Macaca mulatta: one gene and its partners. The protein of the gene in region 1 interacts with the protein of each later gene in a biochemical or structural test. Links are inferred from orthologs where the notes say so. Each region holds a gene or a part of one and is shown on either strand. Other genes may lie near its edges. The genes, in order: CREBBP, H3-4, KLF4, SNAI1, ATF4, MAPK1 and JUN.

What was found.
Region 2: of the proteins of CREBBP (region 1) and H3-4, one has a biochemical effect on the other in vitro, tested with the Homo sapiens proteins (2 studies listed by BioGRID). The link is inferred for Macaca mulatta from reciprocal best matches to the Homo sapiens genes CREBBP and H3-4.
Region 3: the proteins of CREBBP (region 1) and KLF4 form a complex in vitro, tested with the Homo sapiens proteins (2 studies listed by BioGRID, with this or other methods). The link is inferred for Macaca mulatta from reciprocal best matches to the Homo sapiens genes CREBBP and KLF4.
Region 4: the proteins of CREBBP (region 1) and SNAI1 form a complex in vitro, tested with the Homo sapiens proteins (2 studies listed by BioGRID, with this or other methods). The link is inferred for Macaca mulatta from reciprocal best matches to the Homo sapiens genes CREBBP and SNAI1.
Region 5: the proteins of CREBBP (region 1) and ATF4 form a complex in vitro, tested with the Homo sapiens proteins (2 studies listed by BioGRID). The link is inferred for Macaca mulatta from reciprocal best matches to the Homo sapiens genes CREBBP and ATF4.
Region 6: of the proteins of CREBBP (region 1) and MAPK1, one has a biochemical effect on the other in vitro, tested with the Homo sapiens proteins (2 studies listed by BioGRID). The link is inferred for Macaca mulatta from reciprocal best matches to the Homo sapiens genes CREBBP and MAPK1.
Region 7: the proteins of CREBBP (region 1) and JUN form a complex in vitro, tested with the Homo sapiens proteins (4 studies listed by BioGRID, with this or other methods). The link is inferred for Macaca mulatta from reciprocal best matches to the Homo sapiens genes CREBBP and JUN.

What each region holds. Positions count from the first base shown.
Region 1 is NC_133425.1:5,006,099-5,009,598, forward strand, and holds part of CREBBP (CREB-binding protein), read right to left. Parts: intron 1,910-3,500; coding exon 1,667-1,909; intron 302-1,666; coding exon 199-301; intron 1-198. UniProt on the Homo sapiens protein: Acetylates histones, giving a specific tag for transcriptional activation. Mediates acetylation of histone H3 at 'Lys-18' and 'Lys-27' (H3K18ac and H3K27ac, respectively).
Region 2 is NC_133406.1:86,178,103-86,181,719, forward strand, and holds H3-4 (histone H3.1), read right to left. Parts: upstream 2,170-3,617; 5' UTR 1,456-2,169; coding exon 1,045-1,455; 3' UTR 501-1,044; downstream 1-500. UniProt on the Homo sapiens protein: Core component of nucleosome. Nucleosomes wrap and compact DNA into chromatin, limiting DNA accessibility to the cellular machineries which require DNA as a template.
Region 3 is NC_133420.1:50,899,392-50,903,661, forward strand, and holds the start of KLF4 (Krueppel-like factor 4), read left to right. Parts: upstream 1-1,470; 5' UTR 1,471-1,780; coding exon 1,781-1,785; intron 1,786-1,899; coding exon 1,900-2,020; intron 2,021-2,685; coding exon 2,686-3,658; coding exon of another isoform or gene 3,659-3,757; coding exon 3,758-3,922; intron 3,923-4,270. UniProt on the Homo sapiens protein: Transcription factor; can act both as activator and as repressor. Binds the 5'-CACCC-3' core sequence. Binds to the promoter region of its own gene and can activate its own transcription.
Region 4 is NC_133415.1:102,823,108-102,827,100, reverse strand, and holds the start of SNAI1 (zinc finger protein SNAI1), read right to left. Parts: upstream 2,801-3,993; 5' UTR 2,328-2,800; coding exon 2,246-2,327; intron 1,555-2,245; coding exon 1,027-1,554; intron 1-1,026. UniProt on the Homo sapiens protein: Involved in induction of the epithelial to mesenchymal transition (EMT), formation and maintenance of embryonic mesoderm, growth arrest, survival and cell migration.
Region 5 is NC_133415.1:12,021,357-12,025,229, forward strand, and holds ATF4 (cyclic AMP-dependent transcription factor ATF-4), read right to left. Parts: upstream 2,415-3,873; 5' UTR 1,741-2,414; coding exon 1,515-1,740; intron 1,414-1,514; coding exon 584-1,413; 3' UTR 501-583; downstream 1-500. UniProt on the Homo sapiens protein: Transcription factor that binds the cAMP response element (CRE) (consensus: 5'-GTGACGT[AC][AG]-3') and displays two biological functions, as regulator of metabolic and redox processes under normal cellular conditions, and as master transcription factor during integrated stress response (ISR).
Region 6 is NC_133415.1:31,122,609-31,126,886, reverse strand, and holds the start of MAPK1 (mitogen-activated protein kinase 1), read right to left. Parts: upstream 2,801-4,278; 5' UTR 2,581-2,800; coding exon 2,462-2,580; intron 1-2,461. UniProt on the Homo sapiens protein: Serine/threonine kinase which acts as an essential component of the MAP kinase signal transduction pathway. MAPK1/ERK2 and MAPK3/ERK1 are the 2 MAPKs which play an important role in the MAPK/ERK cascade.
Region 7 is NC_133406.1:181,864,933-181,869,095, reverse strand, and holds JUN (transcription factor Jun), read right to left. Parts: upstream 2,801-4,163; 5' UTR 1,817-2,800; coding exon 812-1,816; 3' UTR 484-811; downstream 1-483. UniProt on the Homo sapiens protein: Transcription factor that recognizes and binds to the AP-1 consensus motif 5'-TGA[GC]TCA-3'.

The DNA of each region.
Region 1 (3,500 bases):
ATAAATAAAACTTAAACTATGTTTAATCTATTATCTGCTCTACACTTACAATTAAAGAAAAAAAGGAAAACAGCATTCACCCCTCACCACCCCATTTAAACTATTTTCTGTGCCACACATTTAGAAAGAATCAGTTTTGTGTGGTTCTCAGTCCACGTTCTTGTTGGACTGTCACTCAGAACTGAAACAGGGTCTTACTTTGTGGCCCCCAAGGAAGTCGGAAGAGCTGATTCTGAAATCAAGTTTGGGGGCTGCTGATCTGTTGTTATTCCTCCTGCTGGAATGTTCATTGGATTATTTCCTTTAAAGACAGAAAGAAATCAATCAACTCTTAAATTTTAATATATACTTCAAAGTTTTGATGACAGATAACCAACATGTCATCACATAAACAATTGGTGATTATTTAAATAAGTGATTCTGGTCAGTTATAATAAGCACTGAGGCAGGAACCCCGAGTGTCATATTTTCAATAATGGTAATCAACGTGCACAAATAATCAGTAGACACCTCCCCACTCTACTTTGTAACCAAAGTAAGGTGTGTTTATGGAGATTAGCTGGTATCTAAGTGAAAAAGTTATAAATGATCCATATGCAGCCTCTGACTTTCATTCTGCTTCATTAGTATCACTCCTGAGTGACTCAGCTGCACTGACATATACCTCTGTGTCTCCACCCCCAATATCAGAAAATAAAATCATAGAAATTAAGCTCAGGAAAAAAATACAGAGGTCAATTTGTCTACAATCTTCATATTAAAGTAAAGGAAGGCCGAGATTAATAAAGGTTAAGTTTGTCCTAAATTATACCATCAACAGGAGAGGAGTTAGATTAAGACTTGGGTCTCAGGACTCTAACCCAGTCTCCTGGCCACTATTAGTTAGACATTCACTGGGGCAGTTGTTTTCCAAAAAGCAACAAATAAGATGACTTTAGCTGGGCATATTTTAAGGAATAATTGTTAACCGTAAAATACTTTATTAGGAAAAGAACAAAACTAGCACAGCCAGCCAGCCAGTCTGGACTTCACAGACATCACTGCTTAGCTTAAGCCTAGATGTAAAGGGACTGTGTCCACTTAAAGAAAAATATTAAGGAAACCATATGCAGAAATGGCAAAAATCATGGGTATGTGTGAGCAAATGACCAAAGGTGGGCAAATAATGGGCTGGGGTGACAAAAGAAATGCTGACATGTCCAGCAGCCTGGGAAAAGAGTTTCCAGGGCTCCTGTCATTAACCTGCCGAAGTCCAGGCTGGTCACTTCCAACTGTGGGGTAGACCCTAACCAAGATGTGTGAGGAAGTGGCAAACGCAAGTTCTCCATCAAATAAATGACAACAGTCAGCACGAGGGGTCCAGTCAGCATCCTGACTTGTGAGATCTGCATTCTGAGCCACATGGCACATTCTTTATGAAAACTGTCCAGAGAGAAGTGGCACAGCAAGCAACAAAAACATTGCTTCATTTGCAAATGCTGCTCTTTTTATAAGCATATAACATTTTCCTTGCATTAGACACTTCAGCTTTTTACTGGGAGATTTTTATTTCAACCACTGTAGTAAAAAACACAAAACAAACTGAAAACTGCCTTGGGTTCCATCACTCCATTCCCTTTGCTATATTTGGACAAGTAAGAATGAAGTTGAGAGTTTCTTCACCTACCCAGGGGGTTGAGAGTCCTCATCTGCTGGTGGGTTTGAGGCTGTGCTGGTTGCTGGCCAGGAACCTGAGGCTGCAGCTGCGTCTGGGGCTGGTTCATGTAGGGGAGTCCGAGAGCAGCATAGGCTCGCTGCATGGAGCTGGGGTCTATGGGATTTGGGTTACTTAAAGAAGTGGCATTCTGTTGCCCTGTGCCAACAGAACCAATTGTGTTTTGAATTCCACTAGCTGGAGACCCCAGGATGGCTATAACGACAAACAGACAGACAAACGAGAAAGGTAAGTAAAAGGGAGAAGCCCACAAATGATTTAAAAAACTACTGAGAAGCAAATACATTTCATCAAAATACTACACATGAATATCATAAAGCAGTAAAACAAGGCTAGGGAGAAAGGAACTGTGCTGAAGGACTCATGTATTCTGCCTAGCAGTAAGTGAGGAACAAAAAGTGAAAGAAAAGTGAAGTTTCTATCTTAGCAGGCAACAGATCATAAAATTTCACAGATAACACCTGAAAAAAATTAGTATGTTTTAAAACCTAGAGACTCCTCAAGAGGTCAGTTCCAGGGAGTGGCAAATGTATGACAAGGGAAACGTCTGATTCTCTGGTGGGCAGCAGACACCTTGAGATGAACAGAGGAGCACCCTCCTGCTGTTAACCCCAACCCTGTCCTTCACTGCTCACCTGCACAGGTACAGAGGGCTTAAGAGAAGGAGCAGAGATGATACCTCGTTGGTCAGTTTTGATTAATAAATCTATGATGTGCTCTTCTAAATCACATAATCGCAAGTCCTTGAAACTTACACAAGCAATGACAGCATGAACACATCCTTCTGACGGGATTCCTATGCAGCAGAGCACCATGCTGAGCTCTCTGGTTATATGAAGCTGTTTAAGAAATACTGAACTTGACTGATTGACTGATTTGTTTGAAATTAAGGTTGGAGTGAGGCTTCGCAATTCCGCATGGGTCTTGTTATCCGGGGCCACCTCAGCACCTCTGATATTCAGGAGGTGGCTCTGCCTCACATGGCCAACATCAGATTCTGCTACCCAGGCCCACTGCTGGCTGGCAGGGAAGCTGCCCCATTCAGCTAGCTAACCCCAGGAGACTAAAGGAAAAACTGGTGTCAACATAAGAAGCTCCATCCCAAAGGGCTTCCAAGGTAATGGAGAGACTACTCCAAACTTGCATCAACTTGCATCAACTTGGGCATTTCAAAGTCAATTCATCTACCCACCTACCTACCCACCTGTTTGCCTGCCCACTCATCCGTCCCAACAACCCAAATGTTGTGTGAAAATTTATCATATGGCAGAAGTTCTACATCATACTATTTATTCTTATTTTTGAGTTCCTTTCTAACTTCCACAAATTTTAGAGTCATGTTAAAAATAGCATCCTACAGTGTTGCTACTATAACACATCATTTTTTGATACATAAAACACGATCACAAAGCCTTTCTTTCAAATTCCAACCACTATGTGTAACAGTAATATTCTCACATTCAACCATCAGTGCACCTATAGTAACCCCAATACTTACCCAGAGCGACCTAATTAAACTAAAATGTGTGAAAAGAAAATTCCTGGTAATTATACATTCCATACTATTAACTTTTCTAATAAGGATACTCAGATCAACTCATTAACACTCATCAGACACAATTACACACACCAAGCACTCATTATCATAAATGAAAAGCAACTCCCAAGGTGCACTTTATGACAAGTGTGTAGCTGAAGTAAGTCATGCACAATACCTTGAAAAGTATTCTAATACTTACTACTCCCCAAAACTTTAAACATGTGTCCACCATACTTCTGAAACTGA
Region 2 (3,617 bases), on another chromosome or scaffold:
CCCCTAGCCAGCCTTCTAACCTAATGGGAGATAGCCCAAGTTAACAAGATATACAACTAGCCAGCTTTCTAAATTAACAGGAGGTAGGCTGAGTTAACACACACAAGTAGCTGGACTTTGTTTTTTTTTTTTTTTTTTTTTTTGGTTTTGAGACTGAGTCTCGCTCTGTTGCCCATGCTGGAGTGCAGTGGCATGATCTTGGCTCACTGCAACATCTGTCTCCTGGGTTCAAGCAGTTCTCCTGCCTCAGCCTCCCAAGTAGCTGGGATTACGGGCATGTGCCACCACACCTGGCTAATTTTTGTCTTTTTAGTAGAGATGGGGTTTCACCATGTTGGCCAGGCAGGTCTGGAACTCCTGACCTCAGGTGATCCACCCGCCTTGGCCTCCCAAAGTGCTGGGATTACAGACCTGAGCTGCCACGCTGGTGAAGTAGCTGGACTTCTAACTGAAAATAGGCCAAGATAACACATACTACTTGCTGGCCTTAACAGGCTGTCTAGGTAGGAGACTAGCTGGACTGGTAACCTCACTGGAAAGAAGCTGTGTGTACACACACACACACACACGCAGGACTTGTAACAGTTTGAAAGAGGCTGAGCTGAGAACACACAAGACCAGCCAGCCTTCCAACCTAACTGTAGATAGGCTGAGTTGACACAACTAGCTGGGGTTGCTTACCTAACTGCAGATAGGCCAGTTACGCTACCCTCAACACCCCGTCCCCAAACAGACCAACCATGATTCTTATCTAAAGGGATAGACCAAGTTAGCACCACACACGACTAGCTGGACTTGTAACTGGAGACAGGCTGGGAGGTAACGCGCATGAGTAGCTGGCCTCCTAACTGGACAGGGTGAACACAGGATTCGCCAGCCTCCCACCCTAATCAGAATTAGGTAAGCCAGCACCGGCCAGCGGAAGGAACCCCCAAAACCCAAGAGCCTGGCTTGCTACAGCAACTCTTCCGACCAGGTGGGTGGCTCTTAAAAGAGCCTTTGGGGTGAACGTTGCGCAACCTCTCAGGTGGCGAGATGGCCCTCCTAGGCCCGCTCCCCACGGATACGGCGTGCCAGCTGGATGTCCTTGGGCATGATGGTGACCCGTTTGGCGTGGATGGCACACAGGTTGGTGTCCTCGAACAGCCCAACCAGGTAAGACTCGCACGCCTCCTGCAGCGCCATCACGGCCGAGCTCTGGAAGCGCAGGTCGGTCTTAAAGTCCTGAGCGATCTCGCGCACCAGCCGCTGGAAGGGCAGCTTGCGGATTAGCAGCTCAGTGGACTTCTGGTAGCGGCGGATCTCGCGAAGCGCCACTGTGCCAGGTCGGTAGCGGTGCGGCTTCTTCACGCCGCCAGTGGCGGGTGCGCTCTTGCGAGCCACCTTAGTGGCCAGCTGCTTGCGTGGCGCCTTGCCACCCGTCGACTTGCGCGCAGTCTGCTTGGTTCGGGCCATGAATTTGAAACTGTTGTCTCTGCTGTGTCCTCTGACCAGACCTAAGCTGATTGCCCGCTTTTATAGAGCTTGCCGCGTTTTCATTGGCTGGCCTCAGGTGGCGTGATGGCCCCCTACTCTCTGATTGGTCCACAGGGCACGCCACTCGGCCGCCTCTCCCTTATATTAGTGCTTGTTGGTCGTGGCCACCAGAGCTAGCACCAGCATTGTGAAGGGTTGATGCGGGTAGGCCACGGCGGTGGAGATCATCTCTCTCCAGCACAAGCTTCCTCGTGTCTCCTCAGCAATCCTCTTCTCCCTTCCTCATGACTTGGGTGGGAAGAGCCTTCCGAAAGCCAGCATGCGGCATTCCACTTTTTTTAAAAATTAATTTTAAAAAAATTTTTTGAGATGGAGTTTAACTCTTGTTGCCCAGGCTGGAGTGCAATGGCGCGATCTCTGCTCACTGCAACCTCTACCTCCCAGGTTCAAGCGATTCTTCTGCCTCAGCCTACCAAGTAACTGGGATTACAGGGATTACAGGTATCCACCACAAAGAGATGGGTTTTCACCATATTGGCCAGGCTGGTCTCAAACTCCTGACCTCAGGTGATCCACCTGCCTCGGCCTCCCAAAGTGCTGGGATTACAGGCATGAGCCACCAGGCCCAGCTGGCATTCCACTTTTTTTTTTTTTTTTTGAGACGGAGTCTCGCTCTGTTACCCAGGCTGGAGTGCAGTGGCGCAATCCCGGCTCACTGCAAGCTCCGCCTCCAGGGTTCAGGCAATTCTCCTGCCTCAGCCTCCCAAATAGCTGGGACTACAGGCGCCCACCACCACACCCGGCTAATTTTGTTTTGTATTTTTAGTAGAGACAGGGTTTCACCATGTTAGCCAGGATGATCTCGATCTCCTGACCTCGTGATCCACCTGCCTCAGCCTCCCAAAATGCTGGGATTACAGGCGTGAGCCACCGCGCCCAGCCGGCATTCCACTTTTACACAGTGATACAGCTCTGGGATCCAACCAGAGTTAAAGGAGTCTTCCACTTTTTATGACCTGCAAAGAACTCCCTTTGCTGTATGGCTCAGATGAGCCTTAGGATGCTGAAGAAGGTAAAGATATGCCTTTCTGGCATATTAACTCTTTTGAGATAAAGGCACTTAAAAAAAAAAAAAAAAAAAAAAAGAGGCAGGTGTAGGAAGATCATTCTGAATTTCTTGTTGTTTCTTAAAGGCAAGAAATAGAATTCCCCTATGAAAGATGTTCTCCTTATAGTAAAAGGAAGGGAACGTTCTTATCATCAAGGACCAGAAGGTGGAAGCTTCCAAATCTCCTCCAACTCTGAAGCTGAAATTTGATCCCTAAAGTTGGAGCCGGGGCTCAGTGGGAGGTGTGTGGGTCCTGGAGGTGTCACCCTCTGAATAGAGTCCTGCCCTCCTTTAGGGTGAGTTCTCACTCTGTTGGTTCCCTGAAGAGCTGGTTGTTGAAAAGAGCCTGGCACTCCCCTCCCCTCTCTTTCTGGCTTCCTCTCTTGTGCAGTCCTGTGACCTCTGCACACACATGGGTTCCCCTTCACCTTCCACCATGAGCAGAAGCAGCCAGAGGCCCTCACCAGAAGCAGAGGTGGGCCCTATACTTGCTTCCTTCCATTCTCCCTCCCTCCCTTCCTTTCTCTCTCCCTCCCTCCCTTCTTCGCTCCCTTTCTTCCTTCCTTCCTTTCCTTTCTTTTTATCTTCTTCCCTCCCCTCCCCTCCTCTCTTTCTTTTTTCAGTCTTGCTCTGTTGCCCAGGCCCCTCCTACCTCAGCCTCCCAAGTAGCTGGGACCACATCCAGCTAATTTTTAAATTTTTTGGAGAGATGGGCTGTCATTATGTTGACCAAGCTGGTCTTGAATTCCTGAGTTCAACTGATCCCCCGACCTTGGCCTCCCAAAGTGCTAGGATTACAGGCTTGAGCCACCATGCTGGGCCACCGTGCTTTTTTTGTTTTTTTGACCTGAGTCTCACCCTGTTGCCCAGGCTGGAGTGCAGTGGTGTGATCTCAGCCCACTACAACGTCCGCCTCCCGGGAAGTTCAAGCAACTCTCCTGCCTCAGCCTCCCGAGTAGCTGGGATTACAGGCGTGAGCCACTGCACCCAGCCACCGTGCTTCTTGTACAGCCTGGGAAACCATAAGCCAATA
Region 3 (4,270 bases), on another chromosome or scaffold:
AGAAACTCCGTCTCTACGAAAAACAACAAAAATTAGCCGGGGTCGTAGAGCACGCCTGTAATCCCCGCTACTCGGGAGGCTGAGGCAGGAGAATCGCTTGAACCCAGGAGGAGGATGTTGCAGTGAGCTGAGATCGTGCCACTGCATTCCAGCCTGGGTGACAGAGCGAGTGTGTCCAAAAAGAAAAAGAAAGGAAAGAGAAAGAAGAAAGAAAGAGAGAGAAAGAAGGGGAGAGGGAGAGAGGGGGGGGGGGAGAGAGAGAGAGAGAGAGAGAGAGAGAGAGAGAGAGAGAGAGAGAAAGAGTGCTTCGAGACGGCTGGTTGAAAAGTGTCTCCGCGCCTCACAGTCCCTCTTCTCTCCCTCACCCCTTTGAGTAAATCTTGAGCCCTTTCATTCCCTTTCTCGCTTTTTAAAGTATCAAAACCATAACTCCCCACTCTTGCCTCTTTCTGCCTGTTCCCGGCGGAACACTCCTCTGGCCTTCTCCTGAGGCTCCCAGTTCACGCTGCACAGTGCTGGGCACCCGCTTCCTCTCCACACCCCTAGCGCCCCCCACCCCTCGGCAGAAGGGACCGCGAGGAACCGTGCGAGGTCAGGCCGAGCGCCGGCACGGGCACTGGCGCTGCGCGGCGAGAGCGGACTCCAGCGAGCGCAGGGAGGGAGGGGGAGACCGAGGGCTGGATGAGTCACGCGGATAATCGCGCTCTTCTCCAGCGCGCAGACAGCGCGGCAAGCGCGTATGCGAGCAGGGGTGGGGACGCGTGACCGTCCCGCCCGCTGACCCCACCAGTCTTCGCGGGCTTCGAACCCACGGAGCCGACAATGGCGGTGAGTACTGCCCTGGTCGCGCAGAGACCGAACCTGCGCCCGGTTCCTCGCGCCCAGCTCTGGGGCGGACGCCGCCGCCGCCGACACCACTGCCGCCGGCGTCAGCTCGGCTCCAGCCCGCCAGCTGCCCGGCTGGCGTCACGGCCCGGCCCGGCCCGGCCCCGCCCGCGCCCCTCCTTCCCCTCCCCCGCCCCCACGTGCGCCGAGTTTGTTGATTTAGCTGCCATAGCAACGATGGAGGGGAGCCTCGGGGGGGGCGGAGAGAAGAAAGGGAGGGGCGGGGCATGGGAGAAGGCGGAGGAAAAGGCTGTTAGCGAAGGAAGTTATAAGTAAGGAGCGCGCGCCGGCGGCCGGCAGTTCCCCGACCAGAGAGAGCGAACGTGTCTGCGGGCGCGCGGGGAGCAGAGGCGGTGGCGGGCGGCGGCGGCGGCACCGGGAGCCGCCGAGTGACCCTCCCCGCCCCTCTGGCCCCCCACCCTCGCACCCGCCCGTGGCCCGCGCCCATGGCCGCGCGCGTTCCACACAACTCCCCGGACTCCGCGCCCTGCGCCGCCAACCAGTTCGCAGCTCCGCGCCACCGCAGCCAGTCTCACCTGGCGGCACCATCCGCCCACCGCCCCGGCCACAGCCCCTGCGCCCACGGCAGCACTCAAGGCGACCGCGACAGCGGTGGGGGACGCTGCTGAGTGGAAGAGAGCGCAGCCCGGCCACCGGACCTACTTACTCGCCTTGCTGATTGTCTGTTTTTGAGTTTACAACTTTTCCAAGAACTTTTGTATACAAAGGAACTTTTTAAAAAGGACGCTTCCAATTTATATTTAATCCAAAGAAGAAGGATCTCGGCCAATTTGGGGTTTTCGGTTTTGGCTTCGTTTCTTCTCTACGTTGACTTTGGGGTTCGGGTGCCCCAGCTGCTTCGGGCTCCCGAGGACCTTTCTGGGCCCCCGAATTAATGAGGTAGGTGAGGCGCGCGGCGCTGGGAGCAGGGAGGGGTGAGGACCGGTGGGACGCGCCGGAACGACGGCCGAAAGCCGCCCCTGACTCTGTCTCTGCGCCCTGCCCGGCTCGCAGGCAGCCACCTGGCGAGTCTGACATGGCTGTCAGCGACGCGCTGCTCCCATCTTTCTCCACGTTCGCGTCTGGCCCGGCGGGAAGGGAGAAGACACTGCGTCAAGCAGGTGCCCCGAATAACGTGAGTATCGTATCACCCCGGGCCGCCGGGAACGCCCGGTGGGTTTCCGTGGGTGTGGTGGGGGCGGGCGGAGCTCTGGGGTCACTAAGCCACTGAACGAGGGTAAGGAGCGGCCACCGCGCGGACTCCGCAGCCTTCCCGGGTTAGCTTCCGTGCCCTTGGCTCAGCTGTACATGCCCGTGGTGCGAGCACTGCGGAGCCGCCTGGGGCGCAAGCCGGGTCTTCACCAGTCCCCGGGCGCCCTGTCGGTAGGGCGGGCGCGCGCAGGCCACCAGGCGGGAGGTGGCCGCATCCCCAGACACTGGCTGGGCCAGAGTGAGTTTAGCGCGTAGGCGGCCCCGTGGCTAGAGCGCACCGAGAGAGCCTCGGTGTGCCAATTCCGGGGACGTCCACGGGACTTGGCGGGGGAGGGACCAGCCGTGGCGCTCGCTCACACGCAATTGGGTAGACAGTACATAACGCCCGCGATACAGACGCATCACCTCTTCTCCGACCCGGGTGTGGGCCGAGATTGCAGCCCTGGCGCCCTGGGTTCCCGGGTGATTGCTGCCTGACCAGTCCCCATGTCTGGGCGGTGCAGTTGCGTGTGGCCCGCCAGCACGTCGGTATGTCGGGTGGCAACAGGGGACCACCACTGACGGGCCTCTCCCGCCCTGTCCCCTCAGCGCTGGCGGGAGGAGCTCTCCCACATGAAGCGACTTCCCCCGGTGCTTCCCGGCCGCCCGTATGACCTGGCGGCGGCGACCGTGGCCACAGACTTGGAGAGCGGCGTAGCCGGTGCGGCTTGCGGCGGTAGCAACCTGGCGCCCCTACCTCGGAGAGAGACCGAGGAGTTCAACGATCTCCTGGACCTGGACTTTATCCTCTCCAATTCGCTGACCCATCCTCCGGAGTCAGTGGCCGCCACCGTGTCCTCGTCAGCGTCAGCCTCTTCCTCGTCGTCCCCGTCGAGCAGCGGCCCTGCCAGCGCGCCCTCCACCTGCAGCTTCACCTATCCGATCCGGGCCGGGAGCGACCCGGGCGTGGCGCCGGGCGGCACGGGCGGAGGCCTCCTCTATGGGAGGGAGTCCGCTCCCCCTCCGACGGCTCCCTTCAACCTGGCGGACATCAACGACGTGAGCCCCTCGGGCGGCTTCGTGGCCGAGCTCCTCCGGCCAGAATTGGACCCGGTGTACATTCCGCCGCAGCAGCCGCCGCCGCCAGGTGGCGGGCTGATGGGCAAGTTCGTGCTGAAGGCGTCGCTGAGCGCCCCTGGCAGCGAGTACGGCAGCCCGTCGGTCATCAGCGTCAGCAAAGGCAGCCCTGACGGTAGCCACCCGGTGGTGGTGGCGCCCTACAACGGTGGGCCGCCGCGAACGTGCCCCAAGATTAAGCAGGAGGCGGTCTCCTCGTGCACCCACTTGGGCGCTGGACCCCCTCTCAGCAATGGCCACCGGCCGGCTGCACACGACTTCCCCCTGGGGCGGCAGCTCCCCAGCAGGACTACCCCGACCCTGGGTCTTGAGGAAGTGCTAAGCAGCAGGGACTGTCACCCTGCCCTGCCGCTTCCCCCCGGCTTCCATCCCCACCCGGGGCCCAATTACCCATCCTTCCTGCCCGACCAGATGCAGCCTCAAGTCCCGCCGCTCCATTACCAAGGTCAGTCCCGGGGATTTATAGCTCGGGCTGGGGAGCTCTGTGTGTGCTGGCCCCTTGGGGCACAGGGGATGATGCTCACCCCACCTTCTCCACCCCTAGAGCTCATGCCACCCGGTTCCTGCATGCCGGAGGAGCCCAAGCCAAAGAGGGGAAGACGATCGTGGCCCCGGAAAAGGACGGCCACCCACACTTGTGATTACGCGGGCTGCGGCAAAACCTACACAAAGAGTTCCCATCTCAAGGCACACCTGCGAACCCACACAGGTAGGGGGACAAACTGCGGAAGCAAGGGGTTAGCTTCCAGCCCTATGGGGCTACCAGTGGACACTCCTCAGTGCTTCCTTGGCTTCCCAGGGCAGTCTATCACCTTGATCTCTGGGATCACTGGGGAGGACAGCGAACCGGCGCCTACTTTTCTTCCTAGCCTTTTGCTTGATGGATGGTATCTGTGCTTGAATGTGCAATTTTGTTTGGCCTTTAAAAGGCAGAGATTCCCCGCGGTCTGTGGGCCTCTCCTAGCTTGGGCATTGTAATCAAGAAATTATACTTTGCTATGCAAAAGCATGATGGCTTTTTTTTAAACTAGGTTTTTAATGTTACCTTCCCAGGTTC
Region 4 (3,993 bases), on another chromosome or scaffold:
TGAGAACTATTCGGGTATAATAAATTACTATAAAGTGATTAGCCACCTTTACAGCCACTCTCTTTTTTTTTTTTTTTTTTTTTTTGAGACGGAGTCTCACTCTGTCGCCCAGGCTGGAGTGCAGTGGCCGCATCTCAGCTCCGCCTCCCGGGTCTACGCCATTCTCCTGCCTCAGCCTCCCGAGTAGCTGGGACTACAGGCGCCTGCCACCTCACCCGGCTAGTTTTTTGTATTTTTTTTAGTAGAGACGGGGTTTCACCATGTTAGCCAGGCTGGTCTCGATCTCCTGACCTTGTGATCCGCCCGTCTCGGCCTCCCAAAGTGCTGGGATTACAGGCTTGAGCCACCGCGCCCGGCCTACAGCCACTCTCTAAAACATATGCCATCATAATTCTCCCGAGTCTCAGAGAGGTTAAGTTGCTTGCCCAAAGTCACACAGCAGGGAAGCAGAGCAAATGCCAAGGAACCATTTTTGTGACAGTTTAGCAGGTACCCGGCACTTTGCCAGGTGATTCCCATATGCATTCCTGCATTTAGCCCGTACAGAAACCCCACAAGCTGTTCTCATGCCCATCTGAAAGATAGAGAAAATGAGGCTCACAGAAGTGAAACATCAGCCTAAGCTTTGAGAAAGTTCTCAAAGGATTCAGAGCCAGGTGGGGGGTCTGACAACATCCTGTCTGGCTAGGGAGGGGGCGGACCGGGAGAGGGTGGGGCTGGGTGGGCCCCTTCACACCTGTGGCCCCCAGAGCAAGGTGTTGGTTGCACTTTTCCGATATCCAGCTCCAGCCCATTTGGCTGAGAAACAGGCTGCAGGGATTGGGAAGGTGTCTGCTTTGCTCATCTGCTTAGCTGATGAAGGAACGTTTCTGCCAAACATTTCCAGAGAGCAGGCCCCTGAACTTGAGCTGGAAGTTAGGAGACTCGGGGCCTCAGTGTCCACAACTTTGCGAATGAGAACAGCAAGTCCCAATTCACAAAGCTGCCACAGAAAGCAACGGTGGGGGCGCCTGGAGGGGCACTTACCAGTGTGGGTCCGGACATGGCCTTGTAGCAGCCAGGGCCTGGAGAAGGCCTTCCCGCAGGTTCCGCAGACGCAGGGCAGCGTGTGGCTTCGGATGTGCATCTTGAGGGCACCCAGGCTGAGGTATTCCTTGTTGCAGTATTTGCAGTTGAAGGCCTTTCGAGACTGGAGATCCTTGGCCTCAGAGAGCTGGGCCAGCTGCTTGGGCACTTGGCCCAAGCCTGGGAAGGCAGCATAGGCCTCAGCCTCCAAGGAAGAGGCTGAAGTAGAGGAGAAGGACGAAGTAGCCGGTGAGGGTGGGCTGGGAGGCTGGGAGCCTTTCCCACTGTCCTCGTCCGACAGGGAGGTCAGCTCTGCCGCCCTGGGACTCTCCTGGGGCCGAAGGGAGGCCCAGGCAATTGGCTGGGCTTGGGGCGCCAGGACAGAGTCCCAGATGAGCATTGGCAGCGAGGCGGTGGGATTGAGGATCTCTGGAGGTGGGATGGCTGCCAGCAGGTGGGCCTGGTCGTAGGGCTGCTGGAAGGTAAACTCTGAGAGAGAAAAAGCAGAGTCAGGCGTTAATTAAATCATTCACTCAATCAACAAACATGAACCCACCGCTGGCCAGGGGCTGGGTAGGGCTGATTCTCAACACATAATTAGATAAAAAAAATGATCCACAGGACAGACCAGGTTCCTGCCCTCCTGGCCCAGGTCACCCAATCTGAGTCTCTCACAGGTAGGACCCCCAGTTGAAGGGGGTCATTTCCAGATCTCCCTCTCCTAAGTCCCAAGTCCCCAGCCTGAGGCCAGAACCCCATCACCCCAGCCCTGGAGCCACCACCCTGCCCCAATCCCCCTCCTCACACACATCTCGTCTCCCCACCCCTCCCCTCAACCCTCTGGACTCCGGACTCTCCCCAGCAGCGTCCAGAGGGCCTTCCTGACACAGGCCTCCTCTCCCACTCTCGCGGAGCTCCTCCGCCTCTCGCCGGCTACACAGGCCACCCAAGCACAAAACCCCTGCTCTCTACACAGCACTCCCCCAACCACCCAGACCGATCCCCAGGACTGGGGACCCACCTGCCCGGTCTCCCGAGCCCGAGCCCGAGCCCGCAATGCTCCACAAAACACCCTGTGACTCGATCCTGGCTCAGACAGGCCGCCTCCCTCAGGTGGCCCCCACGCAGCCTTCGCCTGTCTCCCCCAAACCTCCTGGAGCCCACCACCCCTCCAACACACCTGGATTAGAGTCCTGCAGCTCGCTGTAGTTAGGCTTCCGATTGGGGTCGGAGGGCTTTCTGACGAGGAAAGAGCGCGGCATGGTGGCCGAGGCACTGGGGTCGCCGAGTCGCGCAGGAGCAGCGCAAACGTACCACTCACAAGGCCGGACCGCGGCGCAATGAGAGCAGCCGCGCCGCCAACTCCCTTAAATACTCCAAGGGGGTGGGAGGGGAGGGGCCTCATCTGCCACGCCCCTTTGTCACCTCCGCGCCAATCGGAGGCCCGTCTCCGCCGAAGGCCACTCCCCGAGCAGGTGCGCCGGGGGCTGGCCGGGCTCGCGCCGCGTGGCGCTGGGAGCCCGGGCGGGGGCTCCTCCGAGGCGGAGTTCGCAGGCGCAGCGCGGGTCGTCCGTGGTGCTCGGACTGTCCGGGGCGGGACGTCGAGCGAAGCGAGGCCCCTGCGAGGTGGGACCCCGCCAGAACGCCGCGCGCCCACCTGCTCAGCGCCCCGTGGTCGGAGCGCTTCTGACGCCCCCTGGCGCTGCGCGCGGGCCGGGACACCTGACCTTCCGACGCCCGCCCCCGCCTCGGGCTTAGGAGGGGGCGGAAATTTCCTCCGCCCGGCTGGCGCCTGGAGAGCGTGGCATTGACGAGGGAAATGCACATTGCTGGGGAGGAAGCGAGGAAACGGACACCGCACGTGGCTCCTGGCGGCGTGAAATGCTACGGCCGTTTTGCAAAGCAGCCTGGCCCAGCTAGCGAAGAGCGCCCGTTCCTTCCCTTAGCCAGTGTTTGCGGAGGGCCCAGCTGTACCTGGGGCAGGGCACAGCCCCGGACAGGACATTCAAGGCCTCTCCCGAAGGGTAGCTCCCGGTCCAGTGGGGGAGACAGACGAAGTAAACAGACAATTACAATGCAAAGGGAAGTGTGCTTTGGCGGGGGAGAGACGGGACGCAGCGACCGTTAAGAGGCGGGTCACCTGACAGGGGGTCGGGGTGACTTCCCAGAGGAAGTGAAGAATTATCAAGGGAAAAGGCCCGAGGGAAGAAGTGGCAACTGCTTCAGAGTAACTCCTAGAGAGCAGCTCTCAGGGATGGCGTGGGGTGGGCAGGCCCGGAAGGGTCAGATGTGCTGTGCCCCAGGGCCTCGTAGGAGGTTGGACTTTGCCTCAAAGGCACTGGGGAGCCACCGAAGGATTTTCAGCTGACGAGGGACCTGGTTAGAGTTTCGTAGAAAAAGATCCTTGTAGGCCGGCGGGAGAAAGAAGGGATGGGCCGGGCGTGTCTCCTCACCCCTGTGAAGATCCTCGATCCTGTGTCTAAAGGCTCTAACGTTGCTCTGTAGGGGCCCTGACTGAATGCATGTGGGGTGGGCCCAGGTGAGGGGCAGCTGCACCCCCACCCCAGCTTCCCTGGGAGGCATACCAGGCCCGGGAGTAGCGCTGAAATAAACCTCACAGGTCTCACCGTTCTTGTTTCCACCTGTGAAGGAAGACTAGAAAAACCTATAAGCACCCCACACCACCACCAGCAACATGAAGGGCAGAACTACTGTCTGTTTTGGTCACTTGGTGCCGGATGTAACAGCCGTGAACAAAATCGTCTTCCCCTGTTTCTAGCTGGAGAGTGGGGAGTAGGGTGGAGGACATAGGCAGGAAGCAGTTATTAGGCGGAATACTCTCCCTCCCGTGTCAATTTAGCTCCAATCAGGATCCTCTGCTGGAAGCCAGAGTGAGGCCAGAGCACCCCCTCCTCTGCTCAAACCCTC
Region 5 (3,873 bases), on another chromosome or scaffold:
AGCTCCTGTCCTGCTTCAGCATCAATTCCGAAAAGGAGCCATTTCTTTCTTCAGGAACACGTTTCTACAGAACTCAGGGTAACAAGTGAAAACTAATCTTGTGTGCTTATCTCAAGGACTGTGCAAGCTTATCCAGGGTTTCAGGCGACAGCTGTTGGCATGAAGCCCTCTTGAATAAATAGGTAAGAGGCCCAGGCTGTCCCTCCCTCCCAACCTCTCAGAGAGCTCCAGCCTCCTCCCTACACAACCAGCGAACTCACCTCTGGGTAAAGGACCCAACTTGCTACAGTTGGCCAACTATCCGGCTGTATGGCCCCATGAGTCATCAGACATCGTGGCTTACACCTAGCAGGGCGAGCAGTTCCCACTCTGGGTACCCATCTTCAGTCCTGGACTGCCCTCCTCCCCAGATCTCACAAGGAATGTTATAACCAGTTTGGGATGCGTGGTTGGCGCCTCACTCGGCTAATTTGCCAGAAAAGGAATTCACACAAGTACTTTCCCTACAAAATAATTTATTCCAACACACAGCAACAGCAGAGACTCTATGTACAAGCACACTGACGCTCCTGACTACCCTCAACTAGGGGACCCTTTTCTTCCCCCTTGCCTTGCGGACCTCTTCTATCAAATCTTTCAGGTACTGGATCTCCTTGGCCAGGGAATCCGCCCTCTCTTTTAAAGCCTCATTCTTCTTTTCCAGCTCTTTGCACTCGCCAGTGAGGGCCTCCTGCTCCGCCCTCTTCTTCTGGCGGTACCTAGTGGCTGCTGTCTTGTTTTGCTCCATTTTTTTCAGCTTCTTATCCAGTTTCTCACCCTTTACTTTTGCTTCTACCATCTTCTCTCCAGGAGGGTCGTAAGGTTTGGGGCGGGCAGAGCCACAGAGAACACCTGGAGATGGGAGGCTCCTATTTGGAGAGCCCCTGGTAGACGGGCTATGCTGAGGAGAGCCCAGATAGGACTCCGGGCTCATACAGATGCCACTATCATTATCTGAGGGGGTGTCTTCCTCCTTTATGCACGGAGGGATCATGGCAACATAAGCAGTGGCATCTGGCTTCCTATCTCCTTCAGTGATATCCACTTCACTGCCCAGCTCTAAACTAAAGGAATGATCTGGAGTGGAGGACAGGACCCCTGGGGAAAGGGGAAGAGGTTGCAAGAAGGTGAAGGGGGCAACCTGGTCGGGTTTTGTTAAACTTTCTGGGAGATGGCCAATTGGGTTCACCGTCTGTGGGGGCTCCTTGTTAGTCTCCTGGACTAGGGGGGCAAAGAGATCACACGTGTCATCCAACGTGGTCAAAAGGTCATCTGGCATGGTTTCCAGGTCATCTATACCCAACAGGGCATCAAAGTCGAACTCCTTCAAATCCATTTTCTCCAACATCCAATCTGTCCCGGAGAAGGCATCCTCTGCAAAAGATTTGAATGACAGGGCCAAGTGAGTCAGATACAAAGATAACAGGCCCCTAACCCTAGATCCCACCCAGACGATGTGGTGGTGGCCCACTCACCCTTGCCGTTGTTGGAGGGACTGACCAACCCATCCACAGCCAGCCATTCGGAGGAGCCCGCCTTAGCCTTGTCGCTGGAGAACCCATGAGGTTTGAAGTGCTTGGCCACCTCCAGGTAGTCATCTAAGAGACCTAGGCTTTCTTCAGCCCCCAAACCCGACTGGTCGAAGGGGGACATCAAGTCCCCCACCAACACCTCGCTGCTCAGGAAGCTCATTTCGGTCATGTTGCGGTGCTTTGCTGGAATCGAGGAATGTGCTTAATTCGAAGATGTCTTTGTCGGTTACAGCAACGCTGCTGCTGAATGCCGTGAGAAGCCTGAATGGGAATCAGAAGCCAACTCCCATTAGAGGTTAGCTGGTCTGAGAATTTCATCTTTCCACTTACGAGGCGGGACTTCTCTAGTCCAGCCATCTATAGAGTCGGCAACGGGGCAGTTGCATCCGCCCCTCCCTGCTGCGGCTCAGGTTCCACAAAATGGACGCTCACGGAGACCAGGCGATTCTTCCACCGGCCACCAAGAGGAAGGCGCTCCGTCCCCGCGTCCAAATAAGGCCAGGGCGGCCGCGCCCCGCCCACCGCCCGCCCTTGACTCACGCCCGCGGCGCCGCCCTGCCGCCGCCATCTTGGTTCTTGCCACGTTTCGCGGGGGGGAAAGCCGAGACCCCTGGGACCCTTGGGGGACTCGGGGTCCGAGGGCGGCAGGGCCCCTGTGGAAGCAGTCCTGGCACCAGAATGCGCCTTCCCGATCCCGGGCACGCGAGCGTCTCGGGGACACCCAAGCAAAGACCACGCGTCCCGGGCGCTCGTAAAATCGCTTCCTCCTTGGCGGCACCGCCCCGGCCCCAGGCCGCACCCCACCAACCCAAATCCTGCGCCGGCCCAGGGAGCACAGCTGGACGACCCGCCCTGGTACTCACGCCATGGCTTAAGCCGCTGGGGGGGGTGCCGCTGCAGAGCCTGGTGCTGCTGCCGCCGCTGCAAAGGCCAATGCTGCCGCAGGCACTGCTGCCCCTAATACGCCATGGTGGCCGTGGACCCTGCGGGCGGGGAGGAGGGAAGGCGCACACGTGCAAACCAAACTACATTTGTGGGCGGACGAAGTAGAAATGGCCGCAGCAGCCGCCCGCCGGCCCTTTATAGACTTCGTCTCTAAGGGGACGCAGCACCGACGCATCCTTCCGCCACGGCCACGTGACCATCTCCTCCCGCCCGCTCGTTTCCCTCCCTTTGACGCCCCAACCGTTTATGCCCAGCGCGTAGCTGTGACGAGAAAAGGTGTTTGTTCTTATGACCTCACGAAACGAGAGAGGTGCACTACTTTACTAGACTTCTATGATCAGAGTCCGTTCTTTCCTTCGCCGCCGGAGCGCGGAGTGATCTCGCAGACACGCCTCGCTTCCGGTGTCGGCGCGGTGGGCGGGGAGAGGTCGTTTTCCGGCGGAGAGTTTTTATTGTGAAGGCCGAGGAAGCCAGGTTATCGCGCGAGGTGCTGGCGAAGAGCGCGCGTCAAGTTGATTGGCCCAGGCACGGTGAGTCATATATACCTCGAGCTCTTATTGGCTCAGGGCCCCAGGTGGGCGGCTGCTGGGAGAGGGATCACGGAGTCCGCGTGGTAAGGGTCGGGGTCTCGGGTCTCTGCCAGGCCTCAGGCCGGCCAGCCTGCTGGCCAGCTACAATCGCACTGGCTCCTGCCCCCAGGAGACCTTAGCCTAGCGCACCCCATAGTGGCCTCAGGGCCCAGCCCCTGCGGTCGGGTCCCGCCGCCCTCAGTGGAGGTCCGCCACTGGCGGCCCCGCCGCCACTCCCAGCCTGCGCGTCCTTCGGTTGCGGGGGCTGATTTCTGGCCTGCGGAAACCGGGGGGTTACCTGTTCCAAGCCTGAGTTTTCCAGAGACGCCATTCATAGCCGATACGGTGTTGCTGCCCCCGGGAGGTTGAAGGGGTCTCGAGAGGGCGCCTCGGGCCTGCCCACCTACACCCAAAGGCCAGCTGAGTCTGCATGGCTCCGTCTAAACTCTGGAAAGGAGCCGGGAAGACGCGCCGTCCTGTCTCCCAACCTGGGTTTTTACAATTCTCATCCGGCTCAAGTGCGAGGCTGCCACAGAATAGCATCATAGGGGAACTTCTGGTGTCCGAAGATTGCGTTCCCCTAAGAACAGAATTTTCTTCGCTGCCATCTACCTGGGGTAGTTTCGATTCACTCCGGGTTCTGAACTCCCCGGCCTAACCCGCTTTTCGGTGGTCATGCCCATGGCCCTGGGAGGAGAGGCGCTTGGGAACCCACGGCCACGTGCTCGGGGTTGTGCGTTGGGAAGGGGGGGTAGTCTGTTTTAATACAGGAAACCTCCGCATCGTCC
Region 6 (4,278 bases), on another chromosome or scaffold:
ATCACTATTCAAATATTAGTGAATATTTCAACAAGCCCTCCATAAACCCAGCACTGCTAGCCAACATTTATTAAATGCTAATAACGTGCAATGGAGAAGGTTAACAGCAGGGTATGTCATCAACCTGATAAAAGGCTATAATCTGGATCTAGGATTCAAATTCCAATTATATTTGTATTTCACTTAGGAAAAGAAAATCACAAAAAGAGGACTTAGCATTTCAAATGGAGAGTCAGATGGTCAAATAAGCCTACAGCAGTGACAGAAGTGGTTCCCACATCTAAACAACTTCAGACTAGTAAAAATCTTATCAGACAGGAGAAATCTTATCAGATGGGGGTATCTTTTCAATTGACATGTCCTAAACGTAAAAGACTTTTTTCAGTCCACATTTTAGATAAGCTAATCTTGTTAAAAGGGCCAAAGGATGTGATGGGAAATTCTGAGCCTCTCATAATGAGACATGTTCACTGGCACGCTTCCCAGTGAGTGCAACAGCAATGAGATGTATGGTGGAGAAATAATGCTACTGGCAATACTTTCTCTTCATTACTTTTCAGGGCCTTATTTCTTTTAGGCTCGACCTAATTTAAATTCTCTCTTGGCTCCTAAGCCTGTGAGTTCATATTAATTTTCACAGTTGTATTCAGCATTTTGCTCCTAAAGAAAGTGAAAACATTAAAGATTCAATTAAAGTCTCTTTTAAAAGAATTTTAACTAATCTTTCTATCTAGCTACCATACTTGGTAAAACATGCCTTCTATGGCATTTCTAAAATTATGATGATTGAAATTTGAATACATTTCTGAAACAGACTTGTATTTACTTTGTAACAGTAAGATACAGAAAATTCTGCAAGTATTAATTACACTAAGGAACGCAGAGTGTTTTCCTAAAGACAGCTGAAAAGAGCTGCAGTGTGTCTAGTAGAATCTCAGTCTACAATCTTAATAACTCTAGTTCTATGACCTCAGGAATTGGCTTCACCTCGAAACACTTTCTCACCTGAAAAAAGGAATAACACCATCTTTTCCTCCCTCAATGTGGCTGTTCAAATAAAATGAAATAATATATGTAGCACAGTACCTGCCACGAAGTGCTCAATAAATTATTAGTTTACTTCCTTCAGTCAACACAAAAGACACATTCACAAGATTCAGATTTAAGGAAATCTATTTCCACAAGTCCTCACCAGCACAAAATGCTACCGCTAGTTTGCTTTAATAAAAACAATACCGTCAGCGGCGCGCGGTGGCTCACGCCTGTAATCCCAGCACTTTGGGAGGCCGAGACGGGCGGATCACTAGATCAATAGATCGAGACCATCCGGGTCAACATGGTGACACCCTGTCTCTACTAAAAAATACAAAAATTAGCCGGGCGTGGTGGCGCGCGCCTGCAGTCTCAGCTACTAGGGAGGCTGAGGCAAGAGAATCGCTTGAACCTAGGAGGCGGAGGTTGAAGTGAACAGAGATCGCGCCACTGCACTTCAGCCTGGGCAACAGAGCGAGACCCCGTCTCAAAAAAAAGAGAGAAAGAAAAACCGTCACTATCATTTCACTTTTCTAAGGGACCTGAATCAAGATGAGGGAGTCTACACGTGATTCTGCAATAACTCCATTAAGGCTGCATACATAATGACCACTAAATCATTAACAGGAGTCCATAGCAATTGGGCTAAAACATCTGGGAGCATTTATGCTGGTAAAAGAGCTCACTTGGGGGCTAAAAAAAAAGTCAAATTAGGCCCAACTCTAAATGGATCTTTAATAAATGAAGAGAGTAATGTTGGTTTATCCTTCCTGAAACGCTAGCAGTACGATATTAAAATCCACTTGAAAGTACAAACTTCAAGACGGAAATACTCCACCAACACTGGTGTCAGTAATCCATTTTAGAAAGCCTGCGCGGAGACCACCATTAGCACCGCTGAGGACAGTTAATGAAAGCCGTTGGCTGCAAACAGAGGCGAGGAGAGAAAAATTATTTCGGTGTTCTGCACACACACGGAGGCGAACCGCTTTCAGGACCTCAGCAGCCACCGCCGCCAACACCGACAAGCATCTGATGGAATTCCCGGTTTTACAATCGAAAGTCCAAAAGAAGGCCATGATACTAGCAAATTGGGGGGTGGAGGCGCTTCCGTTGCCTTCCCGAGGGTCCAGACTTTAAAGGCGGCGCTGCGCCCGGGGCCGAGGGTCCACTAGTCCCGGCCTCCGCCCCCCGCCCCCCACGCTGCGCCCCTTCCCGAGCGACCGCCGGCCCGGGAAGCGCGAGAGCAACACCACCTAAACCTCAACCGGCCCAGGGCCCCGCCCGAGCCCTGGCGCGCGGACCGCAGTGAAGTCCGGGTTCGAGGTCGCCGCGGCGCCCGAGGCCGAGGCGCCGGCGAGGCCGAGGCTGCGTCCGCTGCGGCCCCGGGCGGCGGGGGGGCCGGGCGTGGCCGGGCGCGGACACTCACCACACCATGCCGTAGGCACCCTCGCCGATGTACGAGAGGTTGGTGTAGCGCGGTCCCACGTCGAACACCTGCCCGCGGACCATCTCCGGGCCCGCGCCCGCCGCCGCCGCCGCCGCCATGTTGGCTGCCGGGCCGCCGCCGCCTCCGCCGCGCTGAGCTCGACGCTCGGCGGCCGCCGCTCAGCTTCTATCGCCCCTCCTGAAGGGACTGTGCCGCCGCCGGTGCAGCCGCCGCCGCTGACCGGGAGGAGGAAAGAAGACGCCGTGTGGCAGACCTGAAGAGCCCACGACAACTCGTACCGACTGCCTGCCTGCCTGCCAGACTGACGGGCGGGCCGGCGGGCGGGCGGAGGGAGGGGCGCGCGCCGAGAAGGGTGCCCGGGCGGGGCCAAGCAGCGTGCATGCGGATTGGTTCCTAGCGGCTGGGGGCGGGGCCGCGCGGCCCAGCGGAAGCGGCGGGCTCCGGGAGGGGTACTGCGCGGCGTTGACTAAGGGGGCACCAGCGGGCGCGGTCACGTGCGTTCGCGGGGGCGTCGGCGCGGGACTTGTCTCTTCAGACACCCAGGGAGACAGACGTGGGGCAGAACCCACGGGGCTGAAGTGAGAGATGGCAGGGGCCCGGGCGAGCACCCGAGGAAGTACCGAACAGAGCCAGCGAGGGACAAGGGGCTGTGCTTGAGGCCCGACGACGCGCCATAGCCCGGCCGCGCCACAGCTCAGGCCTCTGCGAATCCGTGGTCCACACGCTGATGAACTTAAGAGGCCTTGGCACTGGGGCAGAAACCGAAAGGCATGACCCCAGACCGAGAAAGATATTTGCATACTGAGAAAGTGTGAAACACAATTGTTGAGATTAAAAGGAGACAGAGAGGATACGCGAATCAGGTTGGTTCAGATGTTTGTTGAGCACACTCCATGTTCCTGGGAGTTACTTTTTAGAGAGAGACAGACAGACAAATACGTGTAATACTCAAGTTGTGATAAGTAGGATGAAGAAGTACAGAGCAGAAGGGAGGGTGCGGTGTCTCACGCCTGTCACTTTGGGAGGCCAAGGCGGGCGGATCACTTGAGATCAGGAGTTTGAGACCAGGTCTCTACTGAAAATACAAAAATTAAGTCCGGGCGAGGTGGCTCATGCCTGTAATCCCAGCACTTTGGGAAACTGAGGCGGGCGGATCACGAGATCAGGAGTTCAAAACCAGCCTGGCCAACATGGTAAAACCCCGTCTCTACTAAAAATATAAAATTTAACTGGGCGCGGTGGCGGGCGCCTGTTATCCCAGTTACTTGGGAGGCTGAGGCAGGAGGATGGCTTGAACACGGGAGGCGGAGGTTGCAGTGAGCTGAGATCGCCTCACTGCACTTCAGCCTGGGCGACAGAACAAGACTCCGTCTCGAAAACAAAATAATAATAATACAAAAATTAGCTTGGCGTGGTGGTGGGTGCCTGTAATCCCAGCTACACGGGAGGCTGAGGCAGGAGAATCGCTTGAACCCGGGAGGAGGAGGTTACGGTGAGCCACGCCACTGCACTCCAGGCTGGGCAACAGAGCAAGACTCCGTCTCCAAAAAAAAAAAAAAAGGAAAGAAAAGAAAAAAGAAATACAAAGCAGAGAGTAAGGGATTAGGGGTCAGTGGGTCGAAACACATGAGAGATACATTTGCGTTCGGAAACAGACCCAGATTGGTACAGATGGGCAGAAATATTGACAGCAGGTACTGAAATAGAAATGCAAAGATGAAGTCACTAAAACCAAAACATCGAGATTTAGAGATAAAGAGACAGACACACCAGACCCAGAAACAGTCACAAACAAC
Region 7 (4,163 bases), on another chromosome or scaffold:
AACTCCACCTAGATAGCTAGTATCTATAGATGATGCAGAAAAGAGGTTAGGGGAGTACTTTTCAATAGTTTATTGTATTTTCTTAAATATCCTTTCTGGAATTTTCAGAAACAAAACATAAAAAAATTATATACTTTATTACAAATGGTAAACTCAGAGTGCTCCAAATCTCTTATTTACAAACAACACTGGGCAGGACACCCAAACAAACAAACAAGAAATAACTTACAAAGGCATGAAGCTGTTTATTGACAGTAATCAGCTTTCATCAAATTAAAAAATATATATATGTACATACACAGTTAACGAAGGCAGGCCAGAAAGAGTTCATCTGTAGGCTCAGCCTCGCTCTCACAAACCTCCCTCCTGCCGCCCCTCCCCAGCCCTCCCCCCCGCTTTGTGTTCTTAATGAGTACTACAGAAGCAATCTACAGTCTCTATTGCAGTTTGTAACCCCCTCCCCCTCCCCCCTTTAATACTGAATGAGATCGAATGTTAGGTCCATGCAGTTCTTGGTCAATGTTAACGAAAAGTCCAACGTTCCGTCCGCGCGGGGACAGCCCGTCCGCAAAGCGGGGCAGCCCGCAGGCGGCCGCTCCCTGGCTCCACGCCAAGGGAGGGCGCGCCAAGTCCTTCCCACTCGTGCACACTGGGGGCGCCGTCAGGACGCAACCCAGTCCAACTTGGATACCCTTGGCTTTAGTTCTCGGACACTTCTTTTTTCTCTCCGTCGCAACTTGTCAAGTTCTCAAGTCTGTCTCTCTGTGTTATTTTTTTTCTCCGTTGCCCCTCAGCCCCCAACAGTCTCTCTTCAAAATGTTTGCAACTGCTGCGTTAGCATGAGTTGGCACCCACTGTTAACGTGGTTCATGACTTTCTGTTTAAGCTGTGCCACCTGTTCCCTGAGCATGTTGGCCGTGGACGCCAGCTCCGAGTTCTGAGCTTTCAAGGTTTTCACTTTTTCCTCCAGCCGGGCGATTCTCTCCAGCTTCCTTTTTCGGCACTTGGAGGCAGCAATGCGGTTCCTCATACGCTTCCTCTCCGCCTTGATCCGCTCCTGGGACTCCATGTCAATGGGGGACAGGGGCGGCGTCTCGCCAGGCATCTCGGGCACTGTCTGAGGCTCCTCCTTCAGGGCTTGCAGCCGCGGGTGCTGCACGGGCATCTGCTGGGGCAGGTGGTGCGGCGGCTGCGGCGGCGGCTGCTGCTGCTGGGGTTGCGCGGGAAAGGCCAGGCCGGCCGCGCCGTAGGAGGGCGCCCCGCCGCCGCTGCTCAGCGCGCCTGGGTTGAAGTTGCTGAGGTTGGCGTAGACGGGCGGCTCGCTGTGCAGGCTGGCGCTGAAGCCTCCGCTGCCGCTGCCCCCTGCCACCGAGGCTACCGCTGGAGCTACCATGCCCGCCCCGCTGACCGGCTGCGCCGCTGACGTGACGCTGGGCAGCGTGTTCTGGCTGTGCAGTTCGGCCAGGGCGCGCACGAAGCCCTCGGCGAAGCCCTCCTGCTCGTCTGTCACGTTCTTGGGGCACAGGAACTGGGTGGGGGTCGGCGTGGTGGTGATGTGCCCGTTGCTGGACTGGATTATCAGGCGCTCCAGCTCGGGCGACGCCAGCTTGAGCAGCCCCACGTCGGGCGAGGTGAGGAGGTCCGAGTTCTTGGCGCGGAGGTGCGGCTTCAGGCTCCCCACTGGGTCGGCCAGGTTCAGGGTCATGCTCTGTTTCAGGATCTTGGGGTTACTGTAGCCATAAGCTCCGCTCTCGGACGGGAGGAACGAGGCGTTGAGGGCATCATCATAGAAGGTCGTTTCCATCTTTGCAGTCATAGAACAGTCCGTCACTTCACGTGAGGTTAGTTTGGGCTGCGTGCTGAAGTTTCGGGGCCGCAACAGCGCTCTGGCAAGCGGGGGACACCCGTGCCCCCCGGGGCCTTTGGCAGGGAAAGTTTCTCTAAGAGCGCGCGCACCCGCTGGTTGTCGTCCCCGCTGCGCCCTCCTCACCAGCTCGCTCCAGGGAGCGCAGGGTTAATTAAGATGCCTCCCGCACTCTTACTTGTCGACTCGCGCGCGCGCTACCCGGCTTTGAAAAGTCGCGGTCACTCACTGAGCGCTCTTCGGGCGCCGCCGTTCCTTGGAGTCCGCGGGCGAACTCGCTTCCCAGAGCAGCGGCTCTCCCGGCGGCGCGGATCAGTGCCGACCCGCAGAGGCCGACCAGCGGCGGGTCTCGGCCGCCCAGACTCCGACGACTTGTCCCCTCCTCCGCTGCGAGGGGGAGGGGGCGCCCGGCAGCCGCGGCTCGCGCTCGCCCAAGTTCAGCAACCGGTGCGAGCGAAGCTGAGCGCACGTCCTTCTTCTTTTGCGTGGCTGTCCGCCGCCTCCTGGTCTTTACCGCCGCCGAATAGCCTAAGACGCAGGAAAGGCTTGCAAAAGTTCGCTCCGGGACTCTGGGCCAGTTGTCTCCGGTCCTCCGGGCCGAGAAAGTTCTTTGCTGCTGCAGTCGCTCGCCGACTTCCCCCGGCGGGCGCGTGGGTACCGCTGCTCGCCACCGCTGTCAACAGCGCCTGGGCAGCAGGGCTCTCCTCCTGGGGGCGGCTGGAGACCAGGCTCTCTGGGCACTCCTCGTAACACCAGCCCGGGAGCCACAGGCGCTAGCTCTGGGCAGTTGGAGAGACGGTGGAAAAGAAAATAAGATTTGCAGTTCGGACTATACTGCCGTCCTGGCTGGCTGGTTGTGTCTGTCTGCCTGCCTGAGTCCGCGCACCTCCACTCCCGCCTCGCTGCTTCAGCCACACTCAGTGCAACTCTGAGCCCTTATCCAGCTCGAGCTCAACACTTATCTGCTACCAGTCAACCCCTAAAAATAGCCCATGATGTCACCCCAAGGCCTTCCCATTGGCTCGCGTCGCTCTCAGGGGGGCGGGCCCGCCCGTCACCATGGAGACTCCACCCTAGAAGATTCTTCTCTGGGCCCGCGGAGGCTCACGGGATGAGGTAATGCTCCGCTGCCCTCCTACAGTCGGGCCCTTCTTTCTCCTACCCTCCCCCCTGCCGCACGCCTCTCGGCCCTCTCTTCCCCGGTCCCCTCCCCGGGCCGTTTTTCCCGGCCCGCCCGGTGCATTGTGGGCTGACGTCTTGGGGTTTGACTGTCTAGTGACGGTGGCTGCCGCGAGCGGGCGGACGCTCGCAACATCTGACGGAGGGGGCTCAAGTTCACGGCTGCGGACTGGGATGCAGGGGATGCGGGGACCCGGGAGGCCAGGGAACCCGGCCAGTTGTTTTGGGTCAAGGGTGCGGGCGAGGGGTGGTTGTGTTTCCCCACTTGTGGGGCTCGAAGTCATCCACCGGCGTCCGCCACCGCGCGGGGCGGGAGGCTGAGAGTCCAGGTCCGCCGCCCCCCCGCACTTCCGGGGGGCGGGAGCGCCGCCCTTAAGGTGGCTCTGTGAAGTCCCAGTTGGGGGCGAGCCTAAGGGGGCTTAAGTTTGGGGGCGGTCTCCCGAGAGTCGGCCCCCCACGTTGAGAAACGCTGCGAAGTTTGCATCTCGGTCAAGTTCAGGAGGGATGGTCCGCGGGGTTGTCTGGCTGCTCTTAGAAGCTGAGAGATTTGTATTGCCCAAAACTGGACGCTCAGCTGAGTCTCCGTTGCACCCCACTTCATCCTCCGGGACCGTGGGGGAAAGGGCGCGGGGGATCACAGCTTTGCCTCCGAGGGGCAGTTTTTATAGTGGGCGCAATTAGTGGGTAACAGGGTCCAGATGGGAACAAGCGTGTAGGCGATCCGAAACTCGGGGAACCCCGGTGTTAGTCTACTCCCCTTCCCGCCCCCGGACAACACACACACGCTTAACACAACACGCACAACATGCGCGCGCGCACACACACACACACACGCACACACTCTCCACCCGCGCCGAGTTGCTTCCGGGAAAACAAGCTCAGAAGGCGGGGGACACTCGCATAAAGTAACGCAGTAGAACTCAGGAGCCCGGGGTAGAACCTGGACTTCAAATCTCCGCCTTCCCGGCCGGGTGGTGGGCCCATATCCTGAGTAGCCTCTAGGAAGCGCTAGACACATGTAAGTGGTTCCTTTTCCGCGGTTGTTATTTTATCTTCCCCCCGCCCCCCACCCCTTAGGGACGAAAGTGTGTGGTGGAAAGAATCCCGAAGTCGGGAATGC